Rattus norvegicus: one gene and its partners. The main gene of each other region encodes a partner of the protein of the gene in region 7 in a complex. Links are inferred from orthologs where the notes say so. Each region holds a gene or a part of one and is shown on either strand. Other genes may lie near its edges. The genes, in order: Snrnp40, Dhx16, Cwc15, Htatsf1, Srrm2, Ddx42 and Sf3b5.

What was found.
Region 1: Sf3b5 (region 7) and Snrnp40 share a complex: the UniProt entries of both Homo sapiens proteins name them as parts of the minor spliceosome. The link is inferred for Rattus norvegicus from reciprocal best matches to the Homo sapiens genes SF3B5 and SNRNP40.
Region 2: Sf3b5 (region 7) and Dhx16 share a complex: the UniProt entries of both Homo sapiens proteins name them as parts of the minor spliceosome. The link is inferred for Rattus norvegicus from reciprocal best matches to the Homo sapiens genes SF3B5 and DHX16.
Region 3: Sf3b5 (region 7) and Cwc15 share a complex: the UniProt entries of both Homo sapiens proteins name them as parts of the minor spliceosome. The link is inferred for Rattus norvegicus from reciprocal best matches to the Homo sapiens genes SF3B5 and CWC15.
Region 4: Sf3b5 (region 7) and Htatsf1 share a complex: the UniProt entries of both Homo sapiens proteins name them as parts of the 17S U2 SnRNP complex. The link is inferred for Rattus norvegicus from reciprocal best matches to the Homo sapiens genes SF3B5 and HTATSF1.
Region 5: Sf3b5 (region 7) and Srrm2 share a complex: the UniProt entries of both Homo sapiens proteins name them as parts of the minor spliceosome. The link is inferred for Rattus norvegicus from reciprocal best matches to the Homo sapiens genes SF3B5 and SRRM2.
Region 6: the proteins of Sf3b5 (region 7) and Ddx42 are in contact, whole or in part, in a cryo-EM structure (PDB 7EVN), measured with the Homo sapiens proteins. The link is inferred for Rattus norvegicus from reciprocal best matches to the Homo sapiens genes SF3B5 and DDX42. Residues at the interface, in NP_112577.1 of Homo sapiens: Arg4, Tyr5, Thr6, Ser9, Gln10, His13, Leu14; in NP_031398.2 of Homo sapiens: Asp156, Ala159, Tyr160, Phe161, Tyr163, Met164, Asn167.

Annotation. Positions count from the first base shown.
Region 1 is NC_086023.1:148,011,918-148,015,900, forward strand, and holds part of Snrnp40 (U5 small nuclear ribonucleoprotein 40 kDa protein), read left to right. Parts: intron 1-679; coding exon 680-741; intron 742-3,795; coding exon 3,796-3,899; intron 3,900-3,983. UniProt on the Homo sapiens protein: Required for pre-mRNA splicing as component of the activated spliceosome. Component of the U5 small nuclear ribonucleoprotein (snRNP) complex and the U4/U6-U5 tri-snRNP complex, building blocks of the spliceosome.
Region 2 is NC_086038.1:2,873,138-2,877,120, forward strand, and holds part of Dhx16 (pre-mRNA-splicing factor ATP-dependent RNA helicase DHX16), read right to left. Parts: intron 3,634-3,983; coding exon 3,379-3,633; intron 3,272-3,378; coding exon 3,068-3,271; intron 2,987-3,067; coding exon 2,792-2,986; intron 2,683-2,791; exon of another isoform or gene 2,475-2,682; intron 2,211-2,474; coding exon 2,100-2,210; intron 1,991-2,099; coding exon 1,875-1,990; intron 657-1,874; coding exon 446-656; intron 272-445; coding exon 173-271; intron 95-172; coding exon of another isoform or gene 67-94; coding exon 1-66. UniProt on the Homo sapiens protein: Required for pre-mRNA splicing as a component of the spliceosome. Contributes to pre-mRNA splicing after spliceosome formation and prior to the first transesterification reaction.
Region 3 is NC_086026.1:19,585,336-19,589,766, forward strand, and holds the start of Cwc15 (spliceosome-associated protein CWC15 homolog), read left to right. Parts: upstream 1-1,580; 5' UTR 1,581-1,702; exon of another isoform or gene 1,703-1,871; intron 1,872-2,912; exon of another isoform or gene 2,913-2,917; 5' UTR 2,918-2,920; coding exon 2,921-3,051; intron 3,052-3,554; coding exon 3,555-3,667; intron 3,668-4,200; coding exon 4,201-4,289; intron 4,290-4,431. UniProt on the Homo sapiens protein: Involved in pre-mRNA splicing as component of the spliceosome. Component of the PRP19-CDC5L complex that forms an integral part of the spliceosome and is required for activating pre-mRNA splicing.
Region 4 is NC_086039.1:139,971,403-139,975,969, forward strand, and holds the start of Htatsf1 (HIV Tat-specific factor 1), read left to right. Parts: upstream 1-1,339; 5' UTR 1,340-1,541; intron 1,542-1,558; exon of another isoform or gene 1,559-1,729; 5' UTR 1,730-1,785; coding exon 1,786-1,971; intron 1,972-3,322; coding exon 3,323-3,503; intron 3,504-3,833; coding exon 3,834-3,881; intron 3,882-4,286; coding exon 4,287-4,441; intron 4,442-4,567. UniProt on the Homo sapiens protein: Component of the 17S U2 SnRNP complex of the spliceosome, a large ribonucleoprotein complex that removes introns from transcribed pre-mRNAs.
Region 5 is NC_086028.1:13,347,493-13,351,475, forward strand, and holds part of Srrm2 (serine/arginine repetitive matrix protein 2), read left to right. Parts: coding exon 1-2,810; intron 2,811-3,034; coding exon of another isoform or gene 3,035-3,047; exon of another isoform or gene 3,048-3,521; coding exon 3,522-3,809; exon of another isoform or gene 3,810-3,813; intron 3,814-3,815; exon of another isoform or gene 3,816-3,983. UniProt on the Homo sapiens protein: Required for pre-mRNA splicing as component of the spliceosome. As a component of the minor spliceosome, involved in the splicing of U12-type introns in pre-mRNAs.
Region 6 is NC_086028.1:91,676,607-91,680,589, forward strand, and holds part of Ddx42 (ATP-dependent RNA helicase DDX42), read left to right. Parts: intron 1-348; coding exon 349-459; intron 460-1,759; coding exon 1,760-1,861; intron 1,862-2,416; coding exon 2,417-3,091; 3' UTR 3,092-3,983. UniProt on the Homo sapiens protein: ATP-dependent RNA helicase that binds to partially double-stranded RNAs (dsRNAs) in order to unwind RNA secondary structures. Unwinding is promoted in the presence of single-strand binding proteins.
Region 7 is NC_086019.1:9,175,357-9,178,495, forward strand, and holds Sf3b5 (splicing factor 3B subunit 5), read left to right. Parts: upstream 1-1,832; 5' UTR 1,833-1,977; coding exon 1,978-2,238; 3' UTR 2,239-2,545; downstream 2,546-3,139. UniProt on the Homo sapiens protein: Component of the 17S U2 SnRNP complex of the spliceosome, a large ribonucleoprotein complex that removes introns from transcribed pre-mRNAs.

The DNA of each region.
Region 1 (3,983 bases), on a different chromosome or scaffold from region 7:
GCTAGGCAAGCGCTCTACCGCTGAGCTAAATCCCCAACCCGGGTCAAACATTTCTGCATCTAGTTTTATGTATTATAAGATTACAAAGCAGGCCTGAGAGTTGCCTCAGCAGTTAAAAGCACTGACTGCCCTCTCAGGGGACCAGGGTTTGATTCCTGGTAACCACAGAACATAATTGTCTGTAACTCCAGTCCCAGGGGATATGATGCCTGTTTCTGGCCTCCTCCGTTGCTGGGCACACATGTGATGCCCAAACATACTTGCAGACAGATTACCTAAAATAATACACTTAGATTGATAATAAATAAGGTAGGCCAGGCCATAGTGGCATATGCTTTTTTTTTTTTTTTATTCCCAACAATTGGGAGGCAGATCTTTATGAATTCGAAGCCAACCTGGTCTACAAAGTGAGTTCTAGGACAGTCAAGGATGTTGTTACACAGAAAAACCCTGTCTAGAAAAACCAATACATGAATAAGAATTTTTTTTAGAAGTAAGATACGGAAATATTTAAAGAAAAATTAATGAGATTACAGAGCGTGCTGTTTTGAGCAGGAGTGTGATGGCTGATGACGTCTGGGAGATACTGAAGCCTAGTAGGGAATTAAGTCAGCTGACCCCTAGTGCAGCGAGACGGGTTTAGCACACTAACTGTTCATGGAGTCTTTTTTCATTGCAGAACCTCCTGAGGTGTTCCTGGTCACCAGACGGAAGCAAGATAGCAGCTGGCTCAGCAGACAGGTAAGGGTCCCTGGGTATGAGGTGGAGAATGGGGTGGCTATGCGGGTCCCACACCTAATGCCTAACTGTGAAGACAACAGAGGTACAGCTTTCCACGTGACTGAGGGGCTCTCAGAAGTGAAGCCGTGTGAAGACAAATGGTTTAGAGCCCATGTTGGACACACGTAGTTTTCTGTCTGTTTGTTTTTAGGCCTAGAGAGTCGACTGTGTTTATATCTGTTGGAGACTGATAATCTTCCTAGTGTCTCTGCCTTCTCCTTCCCGTCATGTAATACATTAGAGGCTGTCCCTCCTGCCATTCTTCTCCAGGGTCTCTCACACCTCCCTCAGTGCTCTCTAGACTGTCTTCCCAGTAACCACTCTGCTCCTTCTCTGAGCTATCCATGGCACTCTCTCAGTGTTCGCTCCCTCGCCTTTTCTCTCTCTTCTCCTTCACCCTCTCCCTTCCCCCTCTCTCCCTTTAGCATGACACATTGCTCTTTGTTCCATACATCTAACTTTTATACATATTTTTCTTCCTTACATTTAGACAGACATTGGGGGCATCTCTGTGAATGGCTCTCACAGTCAGAACAATCTTTTGACATCCTCTGTAAACCCAGGGTACTGGTTGGTGCTTGAATTCTGAGCGCTTGCTGTTTCAAGGACAAATTCCTAGGTCAGAGGTGACAATCAAATGCCACCCTTGTATCAACCCAGCATTTGGTCATAGCTGTCAATGTTAAAGATAATTCAGAATCAGCTCCAGGCTCGGTGGAAAGTGCCAATGTCGCTGAGGGAAGCAGGTTAGATAGCGTCCATCTCTGCCAAGTCACTAGGCTTTCCCGAGTATGAACTTAGAATGACTCAAGGCCTTAGTTGTGAATGGGAAACAGGGCAGAATTCACCTGTCAGATACAGGCTGGTTCTGGTGTCTGTGGTGCTGCGTACTTGGGAGAAAATCTGATGGAGTAGAGATTCTGAGTGCCAGGGACGAAGGACTTGTAAGTGACGCCTAGAGGTTCACAGTAGAGGCCTGAAAGCAGGGGTTCCCTTTGGGGACATGCTTAGAAACTTTGCAAGACAAGGTGTCATCATGGATCTCTGGCTGTCTTCAGACTCAGTGCGTACGGCAGACTGGCCTTGAACTCCGAGCAGGAGTGAGCTAGCGTGTCCAGCTCACATCTTCTGACTTACAATGTCTTCTTGCTCCTCTTCCTCTGACCAATCCTTAAAGAGGACACATGGCTTGGTGGAAGGAAAGCGTGCTCCTCTGCTGAGCTTGGCTGGATTTCACAGGCCACCCTGATAGCCTAAAGTCAGCAGTCAGTTCTGTTGTATAAGTAACCTGGTTTCTACCAAATGGTGACATGCCCACGTGTGGGGAGGACAAGGAACCCTCTAAATTTAGCATGTAATTGGCAGCCATGAGGAGTGAGCAAGGCCTTGAAGTAAACCCTTGGAGATCTAGGCTTCTGCTGGTTTCTGCCAACTTGAGAGATAATATCCAACTCAGAAAACCACTTTCCAGCTGTGCCTGGGTCTGGTGGGTTTCCCCTTCTGCTTACAGATCACCTCCCCCTGTGCCCTCTAACCCTCCGCAGCCCTGTTACAGGCACCGGCTGAGCCGCCAAGAGGATTCAGGTCAGCACATGACTTCATTGGCTCTGGCTGTGTAACACACTCACATTAGCAATAGCAGTCACTAATTCTGCGTGCCACTTTGCGTATATTCTTGTTCTCAAAAAGTTAGAATCCAGGGGTTGGGGATTTGGCTCAGTGGTAGAGCGCTTGCCTAGGAAGCGCAAGGTCCTGGGTTCGATCCCCAGCTCCGAAAAAAAGAACCAAAAAAAAAAAAGCTAGAATCCTTTTTTCCCCCACCTTTTTTTTTTTTTTGGTTCTTTTTTTCGGAGCTGGGGACCAAACCCAGGGCCTTGCGCTTCCTAGGCGAGCGCTCTACCACTGAGCTAAATCCCCAGCCCCTCCCCCACTATTCTAACGAAAGAAAGGCAGTTGTCTGACAAGCTGGCCAGTGAGTCCATGCTGTGGACCTTGCCCCCACTATTCTGACTCCAGTGCCGTCAGCCTTCCCCTCTGCCTGGGGCGGGGCTGGTGAGGGACAGTGGCTTGTGCGTGGCAGAGATAGGCATCAGAGGGCATGAGCACTAGCTCAGAGGCAGGGATGGGGTCTGCCTCCTGTCTAGACTATTTAGGTCTTATATAGCCCAGGATGGCCTTTAAATTCCATGTCTTGCAGCCTGTTTGTACCAAGTGCTGGGTTTACACGCATGTGCCAATATACCCAACTATTCCAAGTGTGTTACTCAGATTTGGAGCCCACACGGAGAGAGCACAGGACATAACTAATGAACTCTTGTTCATTTGTTGAGTATAGGGGTTTAGACCATCTCAGTACATTCTAGGCTGGCCTCAAACCCATAGTCCTCCTGGCTTCCCTCTTCCCAGTGCTGGGATTGCAGGTATAGTCTTTCTGTGATTTCAGAATTTTGTCAATTCTGTAAATAGCATAATCAGTCATGGACTGTATCTATTTTGTTGGGGTTTGTTTGTTTTTTAGCATTCTTTTTTTTTTTAAGATTTATTCATTTATTATATATAAGTACACTGTAGCTGTCTTCAGACACACCAGAAGAGGGCATCGGATCTCTTTACAGATGGTTGTGAGCCACCATGTGGTTGCTGGGAATTGAACTCAGGACCTCTGGAAGAGTAGCCAGTGCTCTTAACCACTGAGCCATCTCTCCAGCCCTTGTTTGTTTTTTGAGACAGGGTTTCCCTGTGTAGCCCTGGCTTTCCTAGAACGAACTCTGTATATCAGGCTGCCCTTAAACTCACAGAGATCTTAATGCTAGGATTAAAGGCATGCAGCACTGCTGCCTGGCCTCAGTTTGGTTGGTTTGAAGCCCCAAATATTCTCTGTTTCAGTTGGTGTTGTCCTGTTTTCCAAAGCCCAGAGGATTGTTCAGTAAGCAAACGTTCTCCATTTTGCTTCCAGCCCAAGTGCTCTGACCCTCTTCTAAGGGACCTTCCTTTGTTTGTTGTGGCATCTTGCAGGTTTGTGTACGTGTGGGACACCACAAGCAGAAGGATCCTGTATAAGCTTCCTGGTCATGCTGGCTCCATCAATGAGGTGGCCTTCCATCCCGATGAGCCCATCAGTAAGTCCATGTCTGCCATGACTGCTCCAGATGGGAAGTGACCTCTCTCCAGGACCCTGGGGGTACAGAGGCAGGCAGGCAGGC
Region 2 (3,983 bases), on a different chromosome or scaffold from region 7:
CCGGATCTTGGAGCCCAGTCTGCGGCAGCGGTCCTGGAGCATCTCGCAGGCAGCCTCAATCTCCTCCTGAATATGGAGCAGGATGGCAGGAGACCTGGAGTCAGTCATAGGACCCACACACCAGCCCCATCCTCCCCGAAACACTCCAACCACTTCCCACCACAGTACTCACCTGTCCCGTTAGGAACACCAGTATATCCCCAGGGGGCTGGGTCACATGGATCTGCAGCACAGACACCACACAGGCTTCCAGGTAGTCAGCCTCTGGGGCCTGGGAAGGAGGAAGACACAGGGTCACAGAAGGGCCACTTGCTCAGGCAGGCTCTTGTCCCTGCTCAATGCCCACCCCTCTCTGGGTGTCCATTAGACCCTTCCATTGGGACATCCTCCTAAGCCAGCCCCAGCTCCTCTGCCTCACACGGAAGCCCATCCTCCCGAGGGGCACCTTGGTATAGAAGATGTCAACTGGAAACCTGCGTCCAGGGATTCGGAAGACAGGGGCATCATCGAAGAAGGCAGAAAAACGAGCAGTGTCCAGTGTGGCCGAAGCCACCAGGACCTTGAGCTCAGGTCGGAATCTAGCAACATCTTTGATCAATCCAAAGAGAATGTCTGTGTGCAAGGTCCGCTCATGAGCTTCATCCACCATCACCACACTGGGGAGAAAGTGGGAGATTGGTGAGGGACAAGCGGCAGGGGCTTAGCAGTGCAGGGCTGGATCAAAGAGAGGGATGGAGGGACCTCAGGGGGAAAGGGGACTGAGTGGGAGGAGGCTAAGGAGAAGTCAAATGTTCCAATTACGTAATGTTGGCAGATGGTGAGCATGGTGGGGGGTTCTGTGATCTGCGGCCCATCCGGGCACTGGCCAAGAGAAGCAGTCAGGACGGGGCTAGTAACATGGCTCAGCGGTAAATGTGCTGGCCACCAAGCCTGCCGACCTCAGTTTGATCCCTCGAATGCACATGGTGAAAGTACAGAACTGACTCCTATAAGCTGTCTTCTGATCCCCTACATGTCCACACATACACACACACAAATATATACACACGTGCACACATACACACACACATATACACATACATATATACACACATATGCACATGTGCGCACATACATACATGTACACACATACACACATACATATATATACACAACTGCATACACACACATACACAAATGCACATACATATATATACATACACATACATACACACAAATACATACACATACGTGTACACATACACACACGTACATACATACATACATACAAACACAATTGTATACATACACATATACACATACATACATACATACACACATACATACATATATACACACCATAAGTACACACTCATACATACATACACACACACACATATACACACACACACACAATTCTTTTTCAAATATAAAAGAACAAAGAGGCAGGGAAGAGTCTAGATTCCTTTAACCTAGGATTAGAACAAGTCAGACATCTCTGGATCAGTCAAGAGACAGCTGTTCTCACTGGAAGAAGTGGAACTAAGAACTTAAAGCAAACAGTGCATGGCCTGGTGGCTCTTCTTGTACTCTCAGCAATGTGACCCACGAGACTGAGGCCAGCTAAGGTTAGATAGTAGATTCCGGGCTAGCCTGGGCTACAGAGAAACCCTGTCTCAAAACACTAAGAACAGATAAGGGCCACCTGGACCCATTAGAATAGAGAGAGATTAAAGGAAGCGAGAATCTCTGAGGGGGAGGTGGGGCATCTTGTGCAAAGCATACACACACACACACACACACACACACACACACACGCACACACACACACACACACGCACGCACACGCACGCACGCACACGCACACACACACGCACACACACACATGCACGCACCTGTAACTTGCGAGGTCAGGCTCAGAGAGGAACTCCCGGAGTAGCATTCCATCTGTCATGTAGCGGAGAACAGTTCGCTCTGATGTGCAGTCCTCAAACCGGATGCTGTAGCCCACCTGGTCACAGACAGTCAAGAGGTTGGAATGACCGATGACCAGACCTGAGGTGTGGGGCCATGCCAGCAACGTAAGAAGCTTCCCTCTCACGAATCCCCAAAGACCTCACCTCATTCCCAAGCTTCACCCCCATCTCCCGGGCCACTCGGGCTGCCACACTCATGGCCGCCACTCTCCGGGGCTGGGTGCAAGCAATCTTCATACCCTTCTTGGTGTAACCCTAAGAGGAGAGAAGGAGGGGTTACTCCTCTGTTAGACATGCTGTTGTGAGCCAGGCAGGGCAGGGAAAGGAGAACAGATGGGATGAAAGCCAGAGAAGGACAGACAGACAAGAGAGAAGCCAAGGGCCCCCGGGGATGCTAAGCCAGCCTGCAGACCTTGGCTTATAGGCAGGGCTCTGCTGGACTTGAACTGACCAGGGACAGATTGGCCGAGGCATACCCAGAAGCAATGGGAGACATGCGGTTAAACAGTAGGAAAACACCTTTTACTTTTAGTTCTCTGGCCCCTGCAGAGGGAAAGCAGGGCCGAGGTCGTGCGGGATGGAAGCCCAAGAGGTTCCAATCTATGATGCTCATCTCACTGCTCCCATGGGAGACCTGCACGTTCACAACTCGTACCAGGTATGGATGTGATGGCGGGGAGAACAAAATGGTAGAAAGAGTGGCCTCGTCAGTCTCAAAAGCCTCATGACTTAGCAGAAAGGACAGGAAAGGACATCTTTACCATCACACAAAGGGGGTCTCCCAGGACTGACTCAAGGGCTGAGTGGGCCCTAAGTGACATGCTGTAACGACTGACCTCCTCAAAGAGGTACTGTGGGATCTGTGTGGTCTTCCCTGACCCAGTCTCGCCCTCGATGATGAGGACCTGATGGTTGGCAATGGCGGTCAGGAGCTCCTCTCGGAAGGGGAACACTGGCAGGCTGCGGCGCACGGCCTGGATGGACTCCTTCTGCTGGGCCTGGGCTGACAGGGGCGGGCCTGATGACGGCTCCTGAGGAAAGGACAGAGGTGCTGAGGTCCCCACCACCTTGAGAGGCCCTCCTGTCATTACCCCGGACTTTCTCCCTCTCACCTCGTCGCCCTGGAGCTGAGCGGCACGGACGAACTCGATGGTCTCGTCCTCCTCCAGCACCAGCTGGTACTGGGGTTCCTGGGCAGCAGCGTCTCGGGCCCCAAACTTGAGGGATGCGGCGTCCAGACGGGCCTCCTCCCAGCGCCGCTGCTCCTCGCCCGGGGCCCCTGATTCCTCCTCGACGATGTCGGTGGCTCGAGCGGGCTACGGGGAGAGCAGCCGAGAAAGCTGAAGAAGACCCTCCCCACCACTGCTTCTACCAGTTATGAACAGGAGAGGGAAGGGAGCAGCCACCACACCGGTTCCCTCACCTGTCCTCGAGTCTCCTTGGGCATGTGGTAGCGATTAGTGGCCTCCAGCTTCTCCTGCTCGCCAGCCGCCCGGTACTCCCGAGCCAGGTCCCGCACACGCCGCTTGTACTTGAGCTCCCGGCGCTCATGGCGGCTCAGCTCCACGTCCCCAAACAGGACCTCCTCATCAGCCAGTTCTGCCTCCAGGTCCTCCAGCTTTTCCCGCTCCCGCTTTGCCAGGTATTCCCGACGAGACTTCTTACGGAGCTCAGGGACCTGGGTCAGGAAGGAACAGTCAAATCCTCATCCTACCAGTGCCACAACACTGTTCCCTGCATGTGGAGTGTGAAAAAAACTCCAAGGAGGAGGCGGGCGTGAGGCCTTCTAGCTGTTTGATATTTCATCAAGTCTCAAAGGTAGGGGAATTACTCCCAGACGCAATGACTGGATCCTGCCGAGGTGACAAGATTTGTAACGTTCTCCTTCTACAACCAAACCCCACTCTTTTCTGGTTCCTGTCAGGCAGTCCCCCTCCTCTAGAGACTGACCACCCAGACACATCTCACCATACTCCCTCTGCGACCCTTCCTGCTACAGCTAATCACTCCAATGGTCTTTCTCTTTGT
Region 3 (4,431 bases), on a different chromosome or scaffold from region 7:
GTAAGAAACACAGTCCAAGACTTTGAAAAACAGAAGAATGCACGCCTGCACTCAGGGGTCTGAGGCAGGAGACATATAATTTAAGTTCAAAGCTAGCCTGGGCTACAATGCAAGACCTTGATTCAAAACTCAAAGGCAACAATGGAATCCTGCCTTGGAAGAAACAGAAATGTCCAGTTGAGTGTATCTAGAGTGTTATGTACCCGAGACTGACTGAAGTCGGGAAGGCAGGCAGGCAGGAGTCAGCCTGGGTAAGTTAAAACACAAGTGGTTGTTTTATCCTAGGTGTCAAAAACACTAGCTGGTAATCTGAAAAGATCTCCTGTTCTGTGCAAAGCTAGGAACATCCCTTTAAGGCAATTACAAATCCAAGAGGAAAATGCCAGTGGCCTGAATTGAGGGTTAGTAACAGGGAAGGGAAGCTCAGGGTAATTTTCACAATACTGGGCAAGCATGGCAAGTGAACAGGATGTGATGAGGGAAGGTAGAGGGTCTCCAGCTTTGGGTTGGAGCCACTAATATGATAGCAGCGTCCTTTGTGTGAGGCTGAGAGAGGTGCACACCTTCCATAAATTAAAAAAAAAAAAAAAAAAAGAAAGAAACGAAGCTTTTCACCTTCTACTTTCAGGGGAGGCACATTGGGGGGGGGTTCTTTTATAATTCTCTTTCTTCATTTAAAAGTTCCAAAGGAAGGTCAGGGAAGAACTGAAATGTTCAGTTTTAGGAGATCCTTCCACTTGAGATAAACTGGAGAACAGAATTCTCTTTATCGAGCATTGGCCGTCCCCAAAATCTCAATGATGGACACCAAGACAACGTTGGCGAAGCCATCTTACCCATCTCGTGCTCCTCCTGGCAGTTAGGCCCACTGTTCCATAAATTCTCACTATCGTAAACGCTCACGGCATCTCCTCTCACACTACAACGCTTAATGCATATAGCTATGTATATATATATATATATTTATATATCTTAACAAGCAATGCGACTATAACCCCTGCCTTCAAGGCCAGTGGTTTCGCAGGAATGGTACCTTTGGAAAGCTCGTGGCTGCCCCCGTACTTATTTGCGCCTTCTTCATATCCACTTAAGTGACAACTCTAGTCCCTAGGCTGCGGGGTCTACTGAGGAGCAGGAGCCGTTGGGTCGGTCAGTTGGCAAGCTCTCCTCAGATCTCAACGCTTGCGAGACGCGGACCGGCTCCTGGCGCCTTCCGTCCTCGCAGAACCGCAGCGAAAGAGTCTGGGAGGGGGTCGGGAAAGGAAAAGACGCAAGAGAGATTAAGTAATTGGTTCTCAAAGGCACAAGATGATATTTGGGGTCGACTATGAAGCACCGGTTTCAAACGCCCGCCCCCTAAGCAGCCTTGGCTCCGCCCCTAGGCGACGTCACTCCATCTTTTTCCCGTGTCTCTGCGGATTGGTCACTGGGTCAGCCTCTAAAAGACGGTTAAAAAAAAAAAAAAAAAAAAAAAAAAAAAAAAAAAACCAACTCGGGATTTGCTTCCGGGTGTGGAGTTCGCGTCTTCTACACAGCCGTTGGGAGCGCGAAGATTTTGCTTCCGGGTCTTAGTTGAGTCCCAGGTGTAGAGACTGGAAGTTCTGCATTTTGCTTCCGGTTTTGCGCAGAGATTTCTGGGAGTTAAGGGTCGCAATGGTTCGTGAGTGAGCTTCTGAAGGCACTGCGTCGAACCCCCGCCACAGTGAGTAGCAGGGCATAGTGGTTTGTGGTCCCTGTGCGGGCCGCACCGGGGAGTCGGAGAGCCGTGACTATCGTCCGGGCCGCGGTGCTGGAATGGCGGTCGGGAGCTGCAGCCGAGCTCGGGGCGGTCACCGGCGCGGCACCGCTGACACTGAGAAAAGCAAAGGAGGGTAGGATGGGGTAGAAACTCCCACGTCCCACACGGTCTGTCTGAGCATGCTGCTTAAGCTAACGGAGATTTAGTAGCCCTGTAGTTAGGCTGGAATTCTTATTTGACAGCTAAAAATTGCAAAAGGTTCTCTGGTAGCCTAGGCTAGCTTGGAACTCCCGATTCTATTGCTCTCACCCCCCAAGCTCTGGAATCACAGGAGTAGTACCCAGTCATGCCCAGTTCTTGATGTTTGGTTGAGTGGAGTTCCGATTTTCTTAGGATTGCGTTAAGTTACAGCCTACCAAAGCTTTACGAATGTTGCGGTAACTGCTTTAGAGGGAAATTGAATCAACAAGATTCTGGGGTAATGTTGCCAGTGTAAATGTCATTGGGTTTTAAACAAACTCTAAGACACTCAATAAGTTTGCCTGTAACTTTAAAAGAAATTTGTTTTTTATTGGTCCATTTGCTGTAGTGTGAGGTTTCTGATAAAAATGCAAATCTTGGCCGGACAATTCCAGCAGTGCAGAGGCAGTCTGGTAGATCTCTGGAGAGTCCTAGGCCAGCTTGATCTGCATTGTGAATTCTAATTCAGCCAGAAATACATTGTGAGATCCTATCATAAAAAATAAATAAAACAAAATCTCAGAGAACCTAGTGCTAGTGGGATATAAAAAAAAAATTTAAGTCATTTATTTTAAAAGCCACACTACACTGTTGTCCAAGATCTGACATCACGTGTCAGAAATCTCATAATAATTCTATAGAAGTATCAACATTCCACAAGTGATAGAATCAAGCTAGGAGACTTGCGCAGGGCTACCCAGCTAAAACAGAAGCACAGACTCAGACCTTCAGAGTAGTTATTTATATCAAATAAGAGCTGCCTGGCAGTGCATATCTAGTAAACACCCTGAATTTCATGATTCTGCTCTTTAGAGACTTGTACTGAAGCAAACTACTTAAGCAGTTCTGGGGAGAGTTTTGAGAATGATTTAAGGACAGGTAATTATGAATGATCTATAAAATGAAAGTATAATTAAACCCATGTTTGTCAAAGAATAGAAGATGACAACAGCAGCCAGGCCAACTTTTGAACCTGCAAGAGGTGGGAGAGGAAAAGGAGAAGGTGATTTGAGCCAGCTCTCCAAGCAGTATTCAAGCAGAGACCTTCCCTCTCATACAAAGATAAAGTACAGGTAAGAAGCCTTTCATTTGTCCTGTTCACAGAATGGAACCAACCATGACTTATGATCATGTCTAAATTAATAGTATTTAAGTTACCGATCTTCCAAGAAAAGGCTTTCAAAAAGTTTACAATACAATTATTTGCTGTAGTTGTAAAGTGCTCTACGGTCTTTCAGCATAAGTTCCTATTGAGCAGGGATTGCTGGTGTGGATGAAGCCCTCACTAGTCATGATAACCAGCTCAGTCTTCTGAGTGAGTATGGGAGTTGCTGTAACAGCCCTGAGTGGAGGACTGTTTTCAAGAGACGTCCTGCTGTAGGAAGTTGTGTGATACGGAACCCCACGAGTGTATTAATAGCACTCTGATTGGGATATTGTCCTCTTCCGTTTTGTTCTTGATTGACACTTACATTCTGAATTGTCTCAAGTTGCTATAGCCATATAGGTTCTTTTCCTTGACAACTGGGGGCAACATTTTTGACCTGTTTTGGCTTGTTTTGTTTTTCTACTTAAGACAAACCACACAGGATGCCCCTGAAGAGGTTCGCAACCGTGACTTCAGGAGAGAGTTGGAAGAGAGGGAGAGAGCTGCTGCAAGGGAGAAAAATAGGGACCGTCCAACCCGAGGTATCTGCTGTCCCTCGTGTGTCACATAGTTATGTGATGCAAACTGTTTCCTGGTGATTGGAAACAATTAACATTGTTGTGAGCTATACCTCTTTGATAAGAGACAATAATGAGGTTTATTCCAGTCCCATCTTGTCATGCATTGGTACTGAAGACATGGTGACCTGAAGTGTTTAAAACCATTTTTCAGTTCCTGTCAGTAGACTTTGACTTTACAGCAGCTGGAACCCGCCCGAGGCCTTCTGTCTGGGACTCCCCATGTAATTGATGAGTTTTGAGAGAAGCATCAGTTACCCTTTTTATGTTTCTACCACATGTGAGCATTGGCTAGTCTCCTGAGACGCTGTGATCTGCGTGCTCACTAATTCACCCCATGTTAACCAACAAGTATTTATCAGAGACTTACTTGCCCGTCACAGGGTGGGTCCCTGCTGTCACTGTGCTTTGTGTGGATTCTTTTTGCCCAAAGGTTTCTAAAATGTTACTTAAAATCCAGTATGTACTTCAATATGCTAAATGTTTGTTTTCTTCAGAACACACAACTTCCTCTTCGGTGTCCAAGAAGCCCCGCTTAGACCAGATTCCTGCTGCCAACCTTGATGCTGACGATCCTCTCACAGATGTACGTGTTTTAGGTTTGGGTTTGGGTTAGCTTGTGTTTATTTGTTTGCTTGTTTCAAGCCGCCTCAGTGCTGGAACTGTGGGCCTCTGCCATTGGGCACAGCATATCATATTTTCCTGAAAAAAAAATTTAATACACTTTG
Region 4 (4,567 bases), on a different chromosome or scaffold from region 7:
CGTTAACGTGGGATCAGATTCAGAGATTTGTGAGGAGCCAAGATGTTCTAGAACCTAGCTTGAACCACTGTGTTTACAAACAAAGGTGACTGGAATGGAAATAATTTCTAAGAAGCTTTTCCCTACAGTCAAGTCTTGATTATAGTACTGATGTCTACATGTATAGTTTATTGCTACTTTTAGTGATTAAAATTTTACTTGCATAGTTAACATTATGGCAACAGACGTTGTTGTTTGTTGATAAACGTAGTCCACACACCAAAAAAAAAAAAAAAAGCTGTTTAGAATTGTCTAGTTTTTGAGTATTAAAGGATGCTGAAAACAAAATAAAACAAAGTAATTGCTGCTGTCCAGCATCTGGTGCTTCCACCCTATTGTTCGCCAACTATAATTGAACCTCCCTTGATCTGTCTTCTCAGCAGCTGCCTCAGAATCGCCCCCTGGCACTTAATAGTTCAGTAAATGCCTGTCTGTTTTAAAAATATGGACCTCTTCCCTTTTCGAGGTACATGAAACATCTAAGAGAAAAGTCCCGCTTTTCTTAGTAAGGCAGTAGGCTGTCTTACTAAGAAACAAGGAAATGGGGCCACATGGTTCATCTCCTATTTGTACAAGGGGATGTTTACAGTCAAGCTTCAAATTCCAGGCTGGAACACCTCTGACACGTTGCAGTAAGCCGCAGGCAAAAGCTACTCTCACCTACTGCAGTCTGAGGGTGGTACCAGAAGCATAAAAACGGGGTGAGATTTAGCTCAGTGGTAGAGCACTTGCCTAGCGAGCGCAAGGCCCTGGGTTCGGTCCCCAGATCCGGAAAAAAAACAAAAAACAAAAAAAAAAAAAAAACGGGGTGAGATTAGGAAGCGATGGCTTCTGCCCACTTTTCTTTCACTCCTTCTTCACTAGACGCCAAACAGTATATTAGGTGTTTGGGTTACTAAGGTGAACAAAAGCCGCGTGTACCCTAGGGCAAGCATTTAAAAATAAGTAAACCCTTGGCTTCTGCGCAGGGGCGGGGATTTGCGCGAAGGAGGCGCAAAGGTTTCGCGAAGCGGGAGAAACTTGTCCCACGGTCCCACCCACCTCCCCAAGATGGCGCCTGCCGCAAAGCCCAAACACAGCCAGCTCGTCTGGAAGAGTTCCGCGTCCTTTTTCAGGCAATCGCTGCGGCGAAATTCGTCCGGAGTGCAGAGGAGCCCAAGGTTCCCGAGGTGCCACGCATTTCTGCAGGTTGCGTCTCTAAGGCGAGTTACCATTAAGTATGGACACGCGGCGGCAGCCAGGCTTTGAAACCCCGCCCCTGTCCGCGCAAGCGTCGCGGACATATGACGCCACGTGGGCGTGTCGAGCGATCCTTACGTCGCCACGCGCGGACAATGGCGACCGCATCAGTCTGAGGCGGACTTCGTTCTCAAATAGTTGCCTGACGTGGCGGAGGAAGCTGTAGTGCCCCCGGAGCCAGCCGCGGCGGTAACCGCGCGCTTGCGCGCTTCCGCCTCGCCCTAGACCTAGCGGTGGCGTTGAGACCCCGCGGAGTCCGCCAGGTGGGTGGCGGCGACAGCGCTGGCAGTTTCTAGACGCATGCGTGCGCGAGTGGGGCGGGCAGGAGGGCGGAGTTGGGGTGGTACCGCTTAGACTTCCCAGGGTCTGCTGGGGCGCTGCGGGAGGCGGCCGGGGAGTTGCAGTGCACGTTCTGAGCTCTGCAGACCTCTCTTTCTCTGCTCTCTTCCAGCGCCCTTTTGGCCTCTTCACTTCTCTGACCGTTGTGTCCGGGACTACGTGAGAACCATGAGTGGCAGCAACTTGAGCGGGAACGATGAATTTGATGAGCAGTTGCGAATGCAAGAATTGTACGGAGACCCCAAGGAAGGTGACACCCAGAATGAGCCCTCTGGAGAAACTGATTCTTTGGGACAACCACCAGATGACACTCCCTACGAGTGGGACCTTGATAAGAAGGCTTGGTTCCCTAAGGTAAGAGAGTAGCTTGAGTCCCACTGTGGAGCGGGACATAGGGCTCCCTGACCACCTTTGCGGGACATCCCTCTTATGTTTGCTCCGCTGAAGTACTTGGTCTTTGAACTGGTGGTTGGTGGCTAGTCTGTTCAGTCTATTGCAGCCCCGATGTATAAAGAAAAGTAAATCTTAGAGTGGTGCCTTAAGTGTGTTTTTTTAATGTCTTATTAATTTGTGTATGTGTGTGTGTGTGTGTGTGTGTGTGTGTGTGTGTGAAGGTCACAGTTCATTTTTATCTGGATATTTTTACTGCAAAGAGGAAAAACACCAAGAAAAACACATTAATAAGAGTTTTATCCTGTATAACCAAACTTAACTTACGCTTCGTGTACATGCTTGTGCCTAATGTAGCTTGTTGATTTACCGGGTCAGAAAGCAGTCATTCAGCTCATTCTGCCGAATAAACTTTTCTTGATTCTTGTTTTGTTTTATTATTCTACTAAATTTTGTTCCAGGACATCTAAGTTTGGACCCTCTAAGCACAGGAGTATGACTAGGAATGCGCAGGAAATGGATGAAAGAGAACTCTACATTTGTTTCCGAGTACTTGGGAATTGCTAAGTGTTTAGTTTCAGCATGGAAATAACACAACTGGTGTTGAACCCGGTGTTATAAACTGTAGGGTGAAAGTACTCTGTTAGTTTTAGCCTCATGGGAACTTTGGCATCAAAGGGTACTAACAGCACACCAAGCGATTGGAGAGCCAATCACACACAACTTTTCTCCATTGTGCAGGGGGATTGATTGTTGGTTCCAAAATTCTTTATTTCAGCTATTCTTTCTGATTTTGTATTTGCGCATATTTCAAGCACCCCAAACTGTAAAAATTTACAATTGAACTTCTGGACTTGCAATGCCTTTTCGAATGTAGATGAGATTTCTTTCTGAGCACTTATAATAGTCTGACAAACTATTATTTGGTATCTGGGCACCCAAAAGTAGATACTGCAATAGATTGCTAGTGGACTTTGGGTTTTACCATCTTGTTATTCGATACTTCTTTTGTTTTATGTATTGGCCACTTTTGTTAAATATACTGTAAAGAAGTAGTAGTTTACAAGAATGTAGAAAAAAGTGGTAGCATCACTTAAAACTATGCGTGTGGTTTTGGCAATCTGAGCACCCTTGTCCTACTTTGATTGCACTACACGTTTTCCGTATAAGGTGACTGGTCTTGGATTATATTTTAATTAGTAGAACTACTTGTGGTATAAACACTTGTTTAAGTCTTAGCTTATATTGTTGAATGTAACACAGTTTCCACAAGTGAAGTCACCTTGTCCGTCCATGTGTTGACTTATTTATCTAGATCACCGAAGATTTCATTGCTTCGTATCAGGCCAACTACGGCTTTTCTGGTGATGGTGCACCCAGCTCTACTGGGAATGTCCAGGACGCCAACACTAAGACTGTAGAAGAGCCGCCACAGAAAGAAATCCCGGAAACCACTGACTCCAAAAAGAGGGGAGAAAAGAGAAAGGCTGAATCTGGCAAGTGGTTCTGTCTTTGCAAAGTCCGGGTTTAAAAATGAGATAGGAAAAATGAGTGAGTCCATTGTACATGTTGGAGGCAAGAATGATAATGTGAGTTTTCACTTTAAGATAGGGTTATAGTCATGAAGGATAGAAAGAACGCTAAAGGTAATTCTCAGTCAAAAGGTTTATGTCTTTTGGAAGATACGTAGGGATTTGAGTTAGGCGTAGTTGTCTGAGATAAAGAGGACATTCTAAAACTTTGAAGAAACTGCCTTTGCTAAGATTTCCTAATGTAATTCTTGTTGTTTGTTTCAAGTGTTTTATTTATTTCCCTTTGATTTTTAGGATGGTTCCATGTTGAAGAAGACAGAAATACAAATGTATATGTGTCAGGTATTTATCCTGTTGCAGTGCAGTTTTCACGTTGGTATCCTTTAGTGTTGAAACTGCGCTAAGTGAGTTTTAGTTTCGGTGTGTTTTGTTCACCTGCTTATGCTAGCTGGAATTTAATGAGGAGGGATTGAAGAAAAGTTATGCAGTGTTCCATGCTGTTTTGTATGCCTGCCTTAGAGAATTCACAGCAATTTGTTCCTTTACATTTAGTGAAACATACGCATAGCATAACTGATATTTTTAATATATAAAATGTGAATCCTCTTCACATTTATAGATAGGAAGTTGTTGTACTCATTTACCCAAATTAGCCTTGTATTCACATAAGTTTCAGGTTTCTCATTGGTAAATGCTAAAGTCTTTTACTGTCATTAAACACTTTAAAATTGTTCTCTGAAAGTACAGGTCTCCCTCCAGACATCACAGTGGATGAATTTATACAGCTTATGTCCAAATTTGGTATTATTATGAGGGATCCTCAGACTGAAGAATTTAAGGTCAAACTTTACAAAGATGATCAAGGAAATCTTAAAGGAGATGGACTTTGCTGTTATCTAAAGGTTGGTATTTGGTCCAATAAGTCTCTTATCCTCCAGTTTTTAAACCAGGAGCCAAAGCTAGGATTTTATAGATACTAACCTAAACCACAAACTATCCAAAGCAGAATACAAAGGAAATTGGGTTTT
Region 5 (3,983 bases), on a different chromosome or scaffold from region 7:
TCATCAAGCAAAGAGAGAGGCCCTTCCCCTGAAGGAAGCAGTAGTTCTGAGTCTTCTCCAGAGCATCCCCCCAAATCCAGAACTGCTCGAAGAGGCTCCAGGTCCTCAGTGGAGCCAAAGACAAAGTCCCGCACGCCACCTCGACGCCGGAGTTCTCGCTCATCTCCTGAGCTAACCAGGAAGGCTAGAGTCTCTCGAAGAAGCCGGTCTGCCTCCTCATCACCAGAAACCCGTTCTAGAACTCCACCAAGACGCAGAAGAAGTCCTTCAGTATCTTCACCAGAGCCAACTGAAAAGTCAAGGTCTTCAAGGAGGAGGCGCTCAGTTTCTTCTCCCCGTAACAAGACAACTTCAAGGAGAGGCCGGTCTCCTTCACCCAAACCTCGTGGACTCCAAAGATCCCGATCCCGCTCACGTAGAGAGAAAACCAGAACAACCCGACGTCGAGATAGATCTGGATCATCTCAGTCAACATCACGAAGAAGACAGAGGAGCCGGTCTAGGTCACGGGTTACTCGGAGACGGAGGGGTGGCTCTGGTTACCATTCAAGATCACCTACAAGACAGGAAAGTTCCCGAACCTCCTCTAGACGCAGAAGAGGCCGCTCCCGTACACCCCTGACCAGTCGGAAGCGATCTCGATCACGCACATCACCAGCTCCTTGGAAGCGCTCTAGATCTCGAGCCTCACCAGCTACTCATCGGCGATCCAGGTCCAGAACACCCCTGATCAGCCGACGTCGATCCAGATCTCGTACCTCACCCGTGAGTAGGAGACGGTCAAGGTCAGTGAATAGGCGTAGATCTCGATCAAGAGCATCTCCAGTGAGTCGAAGGCGATCCAGGTCCAGAACACCACCAGTAACTCGTCGTCGTTCAAGGTCCAGGACACCAACAACTCGCCGTCGCTCTCGTTCTAGAACTCCACCAGTGACTCGCAGAAGATCCAGATCCAGGAGTCCACCAGTAACCAGGAGACGATCTAGAAGCAGAACTTCACCTGTTACAAGAAGAAGATCAAGATCCAGGACATCCCCAGTCACCCGGAGAAGATCGAGGTCTCGAACATCTCCAGTCACCCGTAGGCGGTCCCGTTCCCGAACCTCTCCAGTGACAAGACGCCGTTCCAGGTCCCGAACTCCTCCAGCCATTCGGAGACGCTCTAGGTCTCGGACACCACTGTTGCCACGCAAGCGCTCTCGAAGCCGCTCACCACTTGCTATCCGCCGCCGTTCTAGGTCTCGTACACCTAGGGCAGCTCGAGGCAAGCGATCTTTAACAAGATCTCCTCCAGCCATCCGTAGGCGGTCTGCATCTGGAAGTAGTTCTGATCGCTCACGTTCTGCCACTCCTCCAGCAACAAGGAATCATTCTGGATCTCGGACACCTCCTGTAGCACTTAGTAGCTCTAGAATGAGCTGTTTTAGTCGTCCTAGCATGTCACCAACTCCTCTTGACCGATGTAGATCACCTGGAATGCTAGAACCCCTTGGAAGTGCTAGAACACCCATGTCTGTGCTCCAGCAAACTGGTGGCTCAATGATGGACGGTCCAGGTCCTCGGATTCCTGATCATCCAAGATCATCTGTTCCAGAAAACCATGCTCAGTCTAGAATTGCACTTGCCCTGACAGCCATCAGTCTTGGCACTGCCCGGCCACCTCCATCCATGTCTGCTGCTGGCCTTGCTGCAAGAATGTCCCAGGTTCCAGCTCCTGTACCTCTCATGAGCCTCAGAACAGCCCCAGCTGCCAACCTTGCCAGCAGGATTCCAGCAGCATCTGCAGCAGCTATGAACCTTGCTAGTGCCAGGACATCTGCTATTCCAGCATCTGTGAACCTTGCCGATTCACGAACACCTGCTGCTGCAGCAGCCATGAACTTGGCCAGCCCTAGAACAGCAGTGGCTCCTTCAGCTGTGAACCTTGCAGATCCTCGAACCCCTGCAGCTTCAGCTGTGAACCTAGCAGGAGCTAGAACACCAGCTGCATTAGCAGCTTTGAGTCTCACAGGCTCTGGGACACCTCCAACTGCTGGAAATTATCCCTCCAGTTCCAGAACACCCCAGGCTCCAACCCCCGCAAACCTGGTGGGTCCTCGATCTGCGCATGGCACAGCTCCTGTGAATATTGCTGGCTCTAGAACCCCTGCAGCTTTGGCTCCCACAAATCTCTCCAGTTCCAGGATGGCTCCAGCATTGTCTGGTGCAAATCTCACCAGTCCCAGGGTGCCCCTTTCTGCTTATGAGCGTGTCAGTGGCAGAACCTCACCTTTATTGCTTGATCGAGCCAGGTCCAGAACACCACCATCTGCCCCAAGCCAGTCTAGAATGACCTCTGAGCGTGAGAGGGCTCCTTCCCCTGCTTCAAGAATGGTCCAGGCTCCTTCCCAATCTCTTCTCCCTCCTGCACAGGATCGGCCTCGGTCACCTGTGCCATCTGCTTTTTCAGACCAATCTCGTTCAATTGCCCAGACCACTCCTGTAGCAGGGTCTCAGTCCCTTTCATCCGGGACTGTAGCAAAGTCCACATCCTCTGCTAGTGACCACAATGGCATGCTTTCTGGCCCTGCCCCTGGGGTATCCCATGCTGAAGGTGGGGAGCCACATGCCTCTACTGGGGCCCAGCAGCCTTCTGCATTGGCTGTTCTGCAACCAGCCAAGGAACGTCGGAGCTCTTCCTCCTCTTCATCATCATCTAGCTCCTCCTCCTCTTCATCTTCATCTTCGTCATCCTCCTCTTCCTCTGGCTCCAGTTCTAGTGACTCAGAGGGCTCCAGCCTTCCTGCTCAACCTGAGGTGGCACTGAAAAGGTGAGGGAATTAAGGGTTCTAAGGAGAAGGGACTCGAGTGGGGGAGTCGGGAGGGAGAAACCTTGTCACAGGCACTTGGCTTTGAGAAAGTATGGGGGACCTTGGCCTTCAAGCTGGGAGTAGAAAGAATGCTGGGTGGGGGCTTTGTGGGGAGGAATGGGACAGATAAAAATCTCCAAAGGTTAATTCTCCAGAGGATAATGATAAGTTTTCCATCTCTACAGAGGACAGAACTAGAGGAAATGGACTTAATTTTACAGCAGGAGGGATGGCAGTTAGACCTCAAGAGGAACTCCCTGGGCTGGAAGGATCTTCAGAGGTCATCCCATCCCTCTCCCTGCCTCCAGGCAGGACGGCCCCTCCCCAGCCAACCTGCACTCACAGGGGCCTCCCCAAGCTGCGGCTCTCCAAGGAAGGAGATCACCCAGCTTCAGCTTCCACATCTGAGTCCAGGGGCCTTAATCCTTCATCAGGGACATTCTTGAGGTTTAACCTTGATCCCTTGTGCTTCGGGCCCCAGCCTGTTGCTTGTGTTAGCAGAGGTTTGGTCAGCTCTGTGCCACTGCTCCAGAGAAGTGCTCACTGGCCTGCCTTCGTGGTTTCCCAGGGCCTTTCAGGCACCCCTCCCCCACTGCCGTTCCTCCAGGCCAAGGAAGGTAGGGTTGGGGTTGGGGCATCTTGTCTCCTTGTGACACCTTTCTTCTCTCACAGGGTTCCCAGCCCCACCCCAGTCCCAAAGGAGGCTGTTAGAGAGGGACGCCCTCAGGAACCAACCCCGGCCAAAAGGAAGAGGCGCTCTAGCAGCTCCAGTTCCAGCTCCTCCTCCTCCTCATCCTCCTCCTCTTCCTCCTCTTCCTCCTCTTCCTCTTCTTCCTCTTCCTCTTCCTCTTCCTCCTCCTCTTCTTCCTCCTCTTCCTCCTCCCCCTCCCCTGCTAAGCCTGGCCCTCAGGCATTACCCAAACCTGCAAGCCCCAAGAAGCCACCCCCTGGCGAGAGGAGGTGAGTGCTTTCTTGCCTGTTGTGGAAGGGGGGTTGGGGTGAGTTCTCCAGAAAAGGGACCCTGGGTGAGGTTCCTGCTGGGGTGCCTCGAGTGGACGTCTGTGTTTGGTTGTAAGGGAGACGGAGTGCCGGACTCCTCCCATTCTCCCACAGTGTTGTATTCTGGTCAAGGGC
Region 6 (3,983 bases), on a different chromosome or scaffold from region 7:
AGATAAGGCACACTGATAAATTTGGTGTGTCAAGCTACCAAAAAGAATACATATTGGAGTTGGGGATGTGGCTTGTTGTTTACAGTGCTCGCCTGGTGTGCTTGAAGCCCTAGATTTAATCCCTGTTGCCATGTAAACTGTGCATGGTGGCAAATCCTCCTCATCCCAGTCTTTAGGAAGTGGTAGGAGAAAGTACAGAAATTTCAGAGTCATCTGTGGTTTCAAAAGGTTCCTCTCATCAGAAAAAGATCAGCTAAAGATGAACCAAGAAGCTCCTCCTTCCTACCTAATTTTGTGACCGTGTCTGCTTCTCTTCTTGGGTTTAACCTTGAACTGTGTTTTTTGCAGAACGCCTGGTTTCGGAAGTCACGCTTCAAAGGAGGGAAAGGCAAAAAGCTGAACATCGGTGGAGGAGGCTTGGGCTATAGAGAGCGGCCTGGGCTGGGCTCTGAGAATTCGGTGAGTTCAGAGTACAACAGTACTATGGGCAAAGGTCCTATGTCTTAACCTGTGCTGAGTCGGTGTACCTGAAAGTCTCACGAGTCCCAAATCCTGTGGTTCAGGGATGCGCATGCGATGTGTCGTGAGTCAGTGTGGTGCTGTTCCTCACAGTGAAACTGCTGTGGGCGAAGTGTGTGTGCTCGGCTAAGTAGGCTAGATCTCAAATTGCAATGTCCTACTGACATGGGACCCAGCTGGTTATATATGCACATAATTTTGCACCAAATGATTGGTTTGGTATGATATGGTGTGGGGTTTTTTGTTACTGTTGTTTTGGCCTTTTTGGTTGGTTGATTGGTTAATTTTAGAGACAGGCCTTGGTCATCCTGGAACTTGCTCTGTAGACCAGGATAGCCTCAGAACTGCCTCTGCCTCCACCTCCACCTCCTAGGTGCTGGGAGTAAAAGCATGCCCTGCTTGCGGTAATCTGATTTTAAAAGCCTGTCTATACTGGCCTAGAATCTGTTACTTGGGAAACATTAACTAAGAGGGTCACTTGGCTAGAATTATATTCAGAAAAAGTCTCTACACTGAAAACTTTGGTCCTAAGAATTTGAGAAGATATAAATGGTCTCACAAATCACATAAAGCACACATGCACTCACTGGCTGGCCTGTCCCTTGTCACAGAGGTTCTTAAAGCCAGGGACAGAGCTGTCAGTATGCCTGGATGCAGTTTCGGTAGTAATTTGGCATCATTGGAAGATAGTATTCCCCATATTATGATGATGTTGGTTGTGGAATGTTAGTGATTCATGATAATTACTAAGCACTTTAAATGAGCTGGGGCCATTGCAGGTATTTCAGTGTTTAGCTAATGTAAATGAGTGCCAGTTAATGAAAGTTCAGTTACACGCTGGCAATTGTTGAATCTCAGATTCATCTCTTTAAATAGTGTCGCTTCAGATCCTGTGATGCTACATTGTGCTATATTACTGGCCTTTTCATCTTTAACATTTTTACTCAATAGAATGTTGATATAATATGCACTCGTATCATTGATAAAATACACAGTCATACAATATACAGCCATACAGTGATTGCATTCTGGTCATTGGGGTTGGTTCCCAGAAATAAATGTCTAGGTTGAGGGACTTAAGCGTTTCTCAATACCTCCTTATTGTTGTACCTTTTCCCACAAAGGAAGTAACTTCTAAAAAAATACCCTGTGCCTGCTGCAGCCCTGGACCCAGGGTTTCAGTGTGACAGGATTGTGCTGCAGTTGCTTCTCTAATAGGTATGCTTGCTTGCTTTTTTAGGACCGAGGAAGTAACAACAATGTAATGAGCAATTATGAAGCCTACAAGCCCTCCACAGGAGCCATGGGAGATAGGCTGACAGCAATGAAAGCAGCTTTCCAGGTCTGAAATAAATAAATATCCTGTTTTAAAAACTTTCAAGAGGGAGGGGGCTAGAGAGATGGTTCAGTAGATAAGAGAACTTGTATTCTTTCAGAGGATCCAGGTTTGTTTTCTTAGCACTCACAGCATTTTACAGTCATCTTTGTTCAGCTCCAGGTAATCTGACACCCTCTTGTGGCCTGCACAGGTATCGGCATGCATGTGCCATACATGCATACATACGGTATTCACAGGCAAAAATCACTATGACACTTATAAATAAATCTTTTTTAAAAAAACAAAAAACAAAACAACCAAACCAAAAAAAAAAAAAAAAAAAACTGTTCAACAGTAACTCCTGGAAATGGGAGGAAACCTTCCTGAGAAGGTAGCTGAGTCTGTAAGTTTCATGCTAGATTAGAGCCTTCTGTTTACTTGAATTTCATATACAGGCTTTAACAGTATCATGCCTGGATAGAGAAGTGGAGTGTCTGTAACTTTATCATTAAGAATTATCTATAACATTGTTTGTATATTGAAGCTTGTATACTTATTCCTGGTGTCTTTTTCTTTCAGTCCCAGTATAAGAGTCACTTTGTTGCAGCCAGTTTAAGTAATCAGAAGGCCGGAACCTCTACTGCTGGGGCAAGTGGATGGACTAGTGCAGGAAGCTTAAATTCTGTTCCAACTAATTCAGCACAGCAGGGCCATAATAGTCCTGACAATCCCATCACCAGTTCTACCAAGAACATCCCAGGCTTCAACAATTCTGGGAATATCAGTAGTGCCCCAGTGACCTACCCTTCTATTGGAGCCCAAGGAGTCAACAACACAGCTTCAGGGAGTAACAGCCGTGAAGGGATTGGGGGTGGCAATGGGAAAAGAGAGAGATATACTGAGAACCGGGGTGGTGGCCGTCATAGCCATGGAGACAGTGGCAATCGACATGGAGATGGTGGCCGCCATGGAGATGGATACCGTTACCCAGAAAGCAGTAGCCGTCATACGGATGGCCACCGACATGGAGAGACCAGGCACGGAGGAAGTGCAAGCAGACATGGAGAAAGCCGGGGTGCAAATGATGGCAGGAATGGAGAAAGCAGGAAAGAAGGCTTTAATCGTGAAAACAGGATGGACCCCAAGGTGGACAGCAGCAGGATGGACAAAGTGGACAGCAAGACAGATAAGACACCTGATGGCTTTGCTGTTCCAGAGCCACCCAAACGCAAGAAAAGCCGATGGGATAGTTAGAGGGTATGTGAAAATCAGCGTGGTCAGTTGTCTTTCATTTTATTTTTAGAAAGATTTTGGTAATGAGGTGTCTCAGGGCTGGGTTGGGGTCCAAGATATACAGACCCCCTGCCCTTGGTGGAGAACTGGAGCGTGGAGATATTATACCTTCATCTGGTGTTCATTCAGATGTTTTCATGGGAACCTGAGTTGGCCCTAGAAAGCAGAGGGCTGGGAAGCTTTTGTTTGCTCTGGGTGAGTTTAAGGAGGGGTAAGTAGGAAATGCTTAGGGAGAAAGGAAGGGCCTTTTAGGGCACAAAAACTCACTCTAGGTTTATAATAGCTTATATTTTTTACTAAAATGTCACCTTATAAACATCTATAATTGGATTTTTTTTCTTAGCTGTGGCCAGGCAGTCCCATATTTTGGAGTTGGCGTCTACAAACCCAACTTTTGACCTGTTATGGCTGCTTGGGAGCAGTTTGGTGCTTTCAGATGTTTGCAGGGAAGATACCTGATAACTCAGCTTCCCCAGACTTTGTTTCCAGCCCTGAGACATGTAGGAGACATGTAGGGAAAGACAGCCTTCCAGACAGACACAGGCTTTGAAATCCTAAGCCATTAGGACTGAAGGAATGATCATCTTGGAGGGATTCCAGGATTATCCAGGCCTGGAGTACTGCTAAATTTACCGTTTCAAACCAACCCCAACAGTAGCTTTCAAAGTGTCTATTTCATTGTTTTGTTTTTTTTTTTAACTTGCCCTAATAGTAGAAAAAGTCTTTTGCTGAAATGATTCTGATTTTTGTTCTATCTTGTTTATAAAAGGAAAAGAAATATACAAACTTTGAATTTTGTGATTTTTGTGAGGTTTCTTTAAGATGTGCATTCCCTCTCTGCTTGCTCGATAGT
Region 7 (3,139 bases):
AATGTTCCTCCTAATCCCCTCCCCTCGATGCTTCTCACCCCTGCCCCTCGTTCCTATGGCTCCTGTTTATCCCTTTGCTTAAAGTACAAGTGGTCAAATCCCACTCTACCTCCAAGCCCTGCAGACAGACAGACAGACAGACAGACAGACACACACACACACACACACACACACACACACACACACACACACACACATCCGGAAACCAAAACTCATGAAGAAAGAGATTTGTATTTCATAATCCCACTGCCACTGAAATCCCATACTACTGTGTTGTCTAACAAAATATAAAACTCTGTGTAGTACGGCTGATGGTGAATCCACGGGTATTGCCGTGTACATCTACATTTTAGGAATAAGATGTGTATTGTGGGGGTTGGGGATTTAGCTCAGTGGTAGAGCGCTTGCCTAGCAACCTCAAGGCCCTGGGTTCGGTCCCCAGCTCCGAAAAAAAGAAAAAGAAAAAAAAAAGATGTGTATTGTGTCATTTAAGTGTTGGGTGCTGCTTGTTTGGTTGGTTGGTTTTATTTTTCGGGACAGAGTTTCTCCCTGTAGGCCTGGCTCTCCTGGAACTCAGAGAGCCACCTGCCTCTGCCTCTAAAATGCTGGGATTAAAGATGTGTGCTGCCGGGGTTGGGGGATATAGCTCAGTGGGAGAGCGGCAAGGCCCTGGGTTCGGTCCCCAGCTCCGAAAAAAAGAAAAAAAAAAAAAAGATGTGTGCTGCCACCACCTGGCAAGATGCTTTATGACAAAGTTTAGACAGAAGAATAAATATTAGATGGAGTTGCACAAGTCTCTAGTCTCAGGAGTCAGGAGGATTGCTGTGAGCTCAGGGACAAAACTTCGCCTCCCCCCTCTTACATCAAATAAACAAAAGTACCCCCAAACTCCTGTATTTTCAATTTGTCTGTCATCATCCATCCTCTCTGGCTATGATTGCTCTTACCCCATTCTTAAGATTTTTTTTTTTTTTTGAGAATACAATCTTCATCACGCTATTCGCATATCCTCAGGGAGTACCATGAAAGAAGTACAATTATCTTTTTCTGAGTAGTTTGTACCATGCGAGAAAGTGCACAACCCCCAACATAAGGCAGAAATCAGCAGAAAAACACAAGATGAAGAGAAAGAGGTTTCTTGTCTCGAGCCATATCCGACTTCAAGGAATAGCCTATGAATGACCTTAAAGAGGGGTTGTTTGCCCAAGGCCACAGAGCCTAGGTGGGTTGAGAAACTGGCGCCTGGAACTCCTTAGGGAAGCCATTAATGAGACTACCAGTGCTGACACTGATCAACAAGCAGCTAGCGAGAGTCAAAAAACAAAACAAAACAAAACAAAAAAAAAAAAAAAAACAACAAAAAAAAACTTTTCCCGGTACCCAAATCCTAAGAGACAAAACTTGGGCCAAGGCGGAACCATGCCACCATGTTAACTTCTAGGTACAAGAGTTAGTTTTCCTCGTTGCTCATACTGTTGTGTTGCGGCAGTATGAGATTTCAATGACAGTGGGATTATGAAACCCACGTAGGTTTCTCCTTCTTTGTAGCCCGGAGCCGTGGGATGAAGCTTCGAGGTTTTTGGACATTGTCCTATATAAGCCAGGCAAAACCCCTCAAAAACAATCTAAGACAAACTCTTTGGACTACATGTCCCAGAATGCAACGCGAGGGTTAGAACGTGATCACCCAAGAGCCACTAAGAGGACCATCATGCAACGCTCTTCGAAGTAGGCGGGCTCCGTGAGGAGACGGCCCACTGTTTCCTAGGCAACCCCAATCCCGCAACAGACTTTATTTCCCCTTCCGCCTAGGAAAAGAAAGTACTCCTGCGACTGCGTGTCGTCTTTCTCCTGCGCCAGCACGAATAGAGCTTTTGTGCGGCGGCAGCGGCGGCGGCGTCTCTCTGATTTGAACGCCGAACAGCGGTAGCTTCTCATCTGTGGCCTGACCTCGAAGCCTAAGAACAGAGCGGCGAGATGACGGACCGGTACACCATCCACAGCCAGCTCGAGCATCTGCAGTCCAAGTACATCGGCACGGGCCACGCCGACACCACCAAGTGGGAATGGCTTGTGAACCAGCATCGGGATTCCTACTGCTCCTACATGGGTCACTTCGACCTCCTCAACTACTTCGCCATTGCTGAGAATGAGAGCAAAGCGCGCGTGCGTTTCAACCTGATGGAGAAAATGCTGCAGCCCAGCGGGCCGCCGGCGGACAAGCCGGAGGAGAACTGAGGCGAGCGCTTCCCAGCCTTCCCCATCTGCCATCTGTGGACCGATCCTCCTGACTCCTGCTTCTCGACCATTCTCCGTTGGGTGTATCGCCTGACCTGCTTACCTGTGGACGGTTCCGAACAAGTCATCGAGAGACTGTCGGGTCTCCTGGGAGCTGTGCGGAAGGAGTGATCCCAGAATCGGCAAGCGAGGGAGAAGACTGCCTGGGAGTGATGACGCATTCCGAGTCAGCTTTTCGATAGTTGATGTCGTTCTCGCCTTTTTTTTTTTTAAATATATATCATACATAAAGTTAGGATTTGTTATATCTTTTGGTTTGAATTGCTGTGTTCTTTGGGAGGTATTTGGAGAGAGTTCTGTGGATCAAGATTTCGTGAGAATATGACTAGAAAACGGGGGCGGAAGCACAGGGCAAGCGTTTATTGACAAGTACTTTAGTTGTCACACACACTTTTATGATCTTCCCTCACCTCGATTTTCTTCATGCCTACAGTGTGTCTGGTACCAAGGAAACCTTCAAGCATGGAGTTTTTCCACATTCCTTCCCACCCATTTCTAGTCTTTGCTGTCATTAACCTCACTTCCCTTTATGCTGCAGCCCCCTCCCCCCTTTCTTGGTAATTAGTTTGTGTGTCTTCAGAAATGACAAACTGGCAAACAATGGTGTCCTGTCCCGACCCTGCTCCACCTCTCCCCATTCAGTTTTCACCAGAGCATTTTCCAAAGGTTTGAGGACATACATTATGCCGGCCAGTTTGGAAGCAGATATGCTAAACTAGTCAAGAGTTAGAAGATGGAGGGGGATGGGGCAGCTTGAGGAGTTTACAATTTCAAATCCCACGCTTATGCTACATGACCGAGATGGTGACATTTGAGGACAGATTTCAAGGAATCAAGAGAA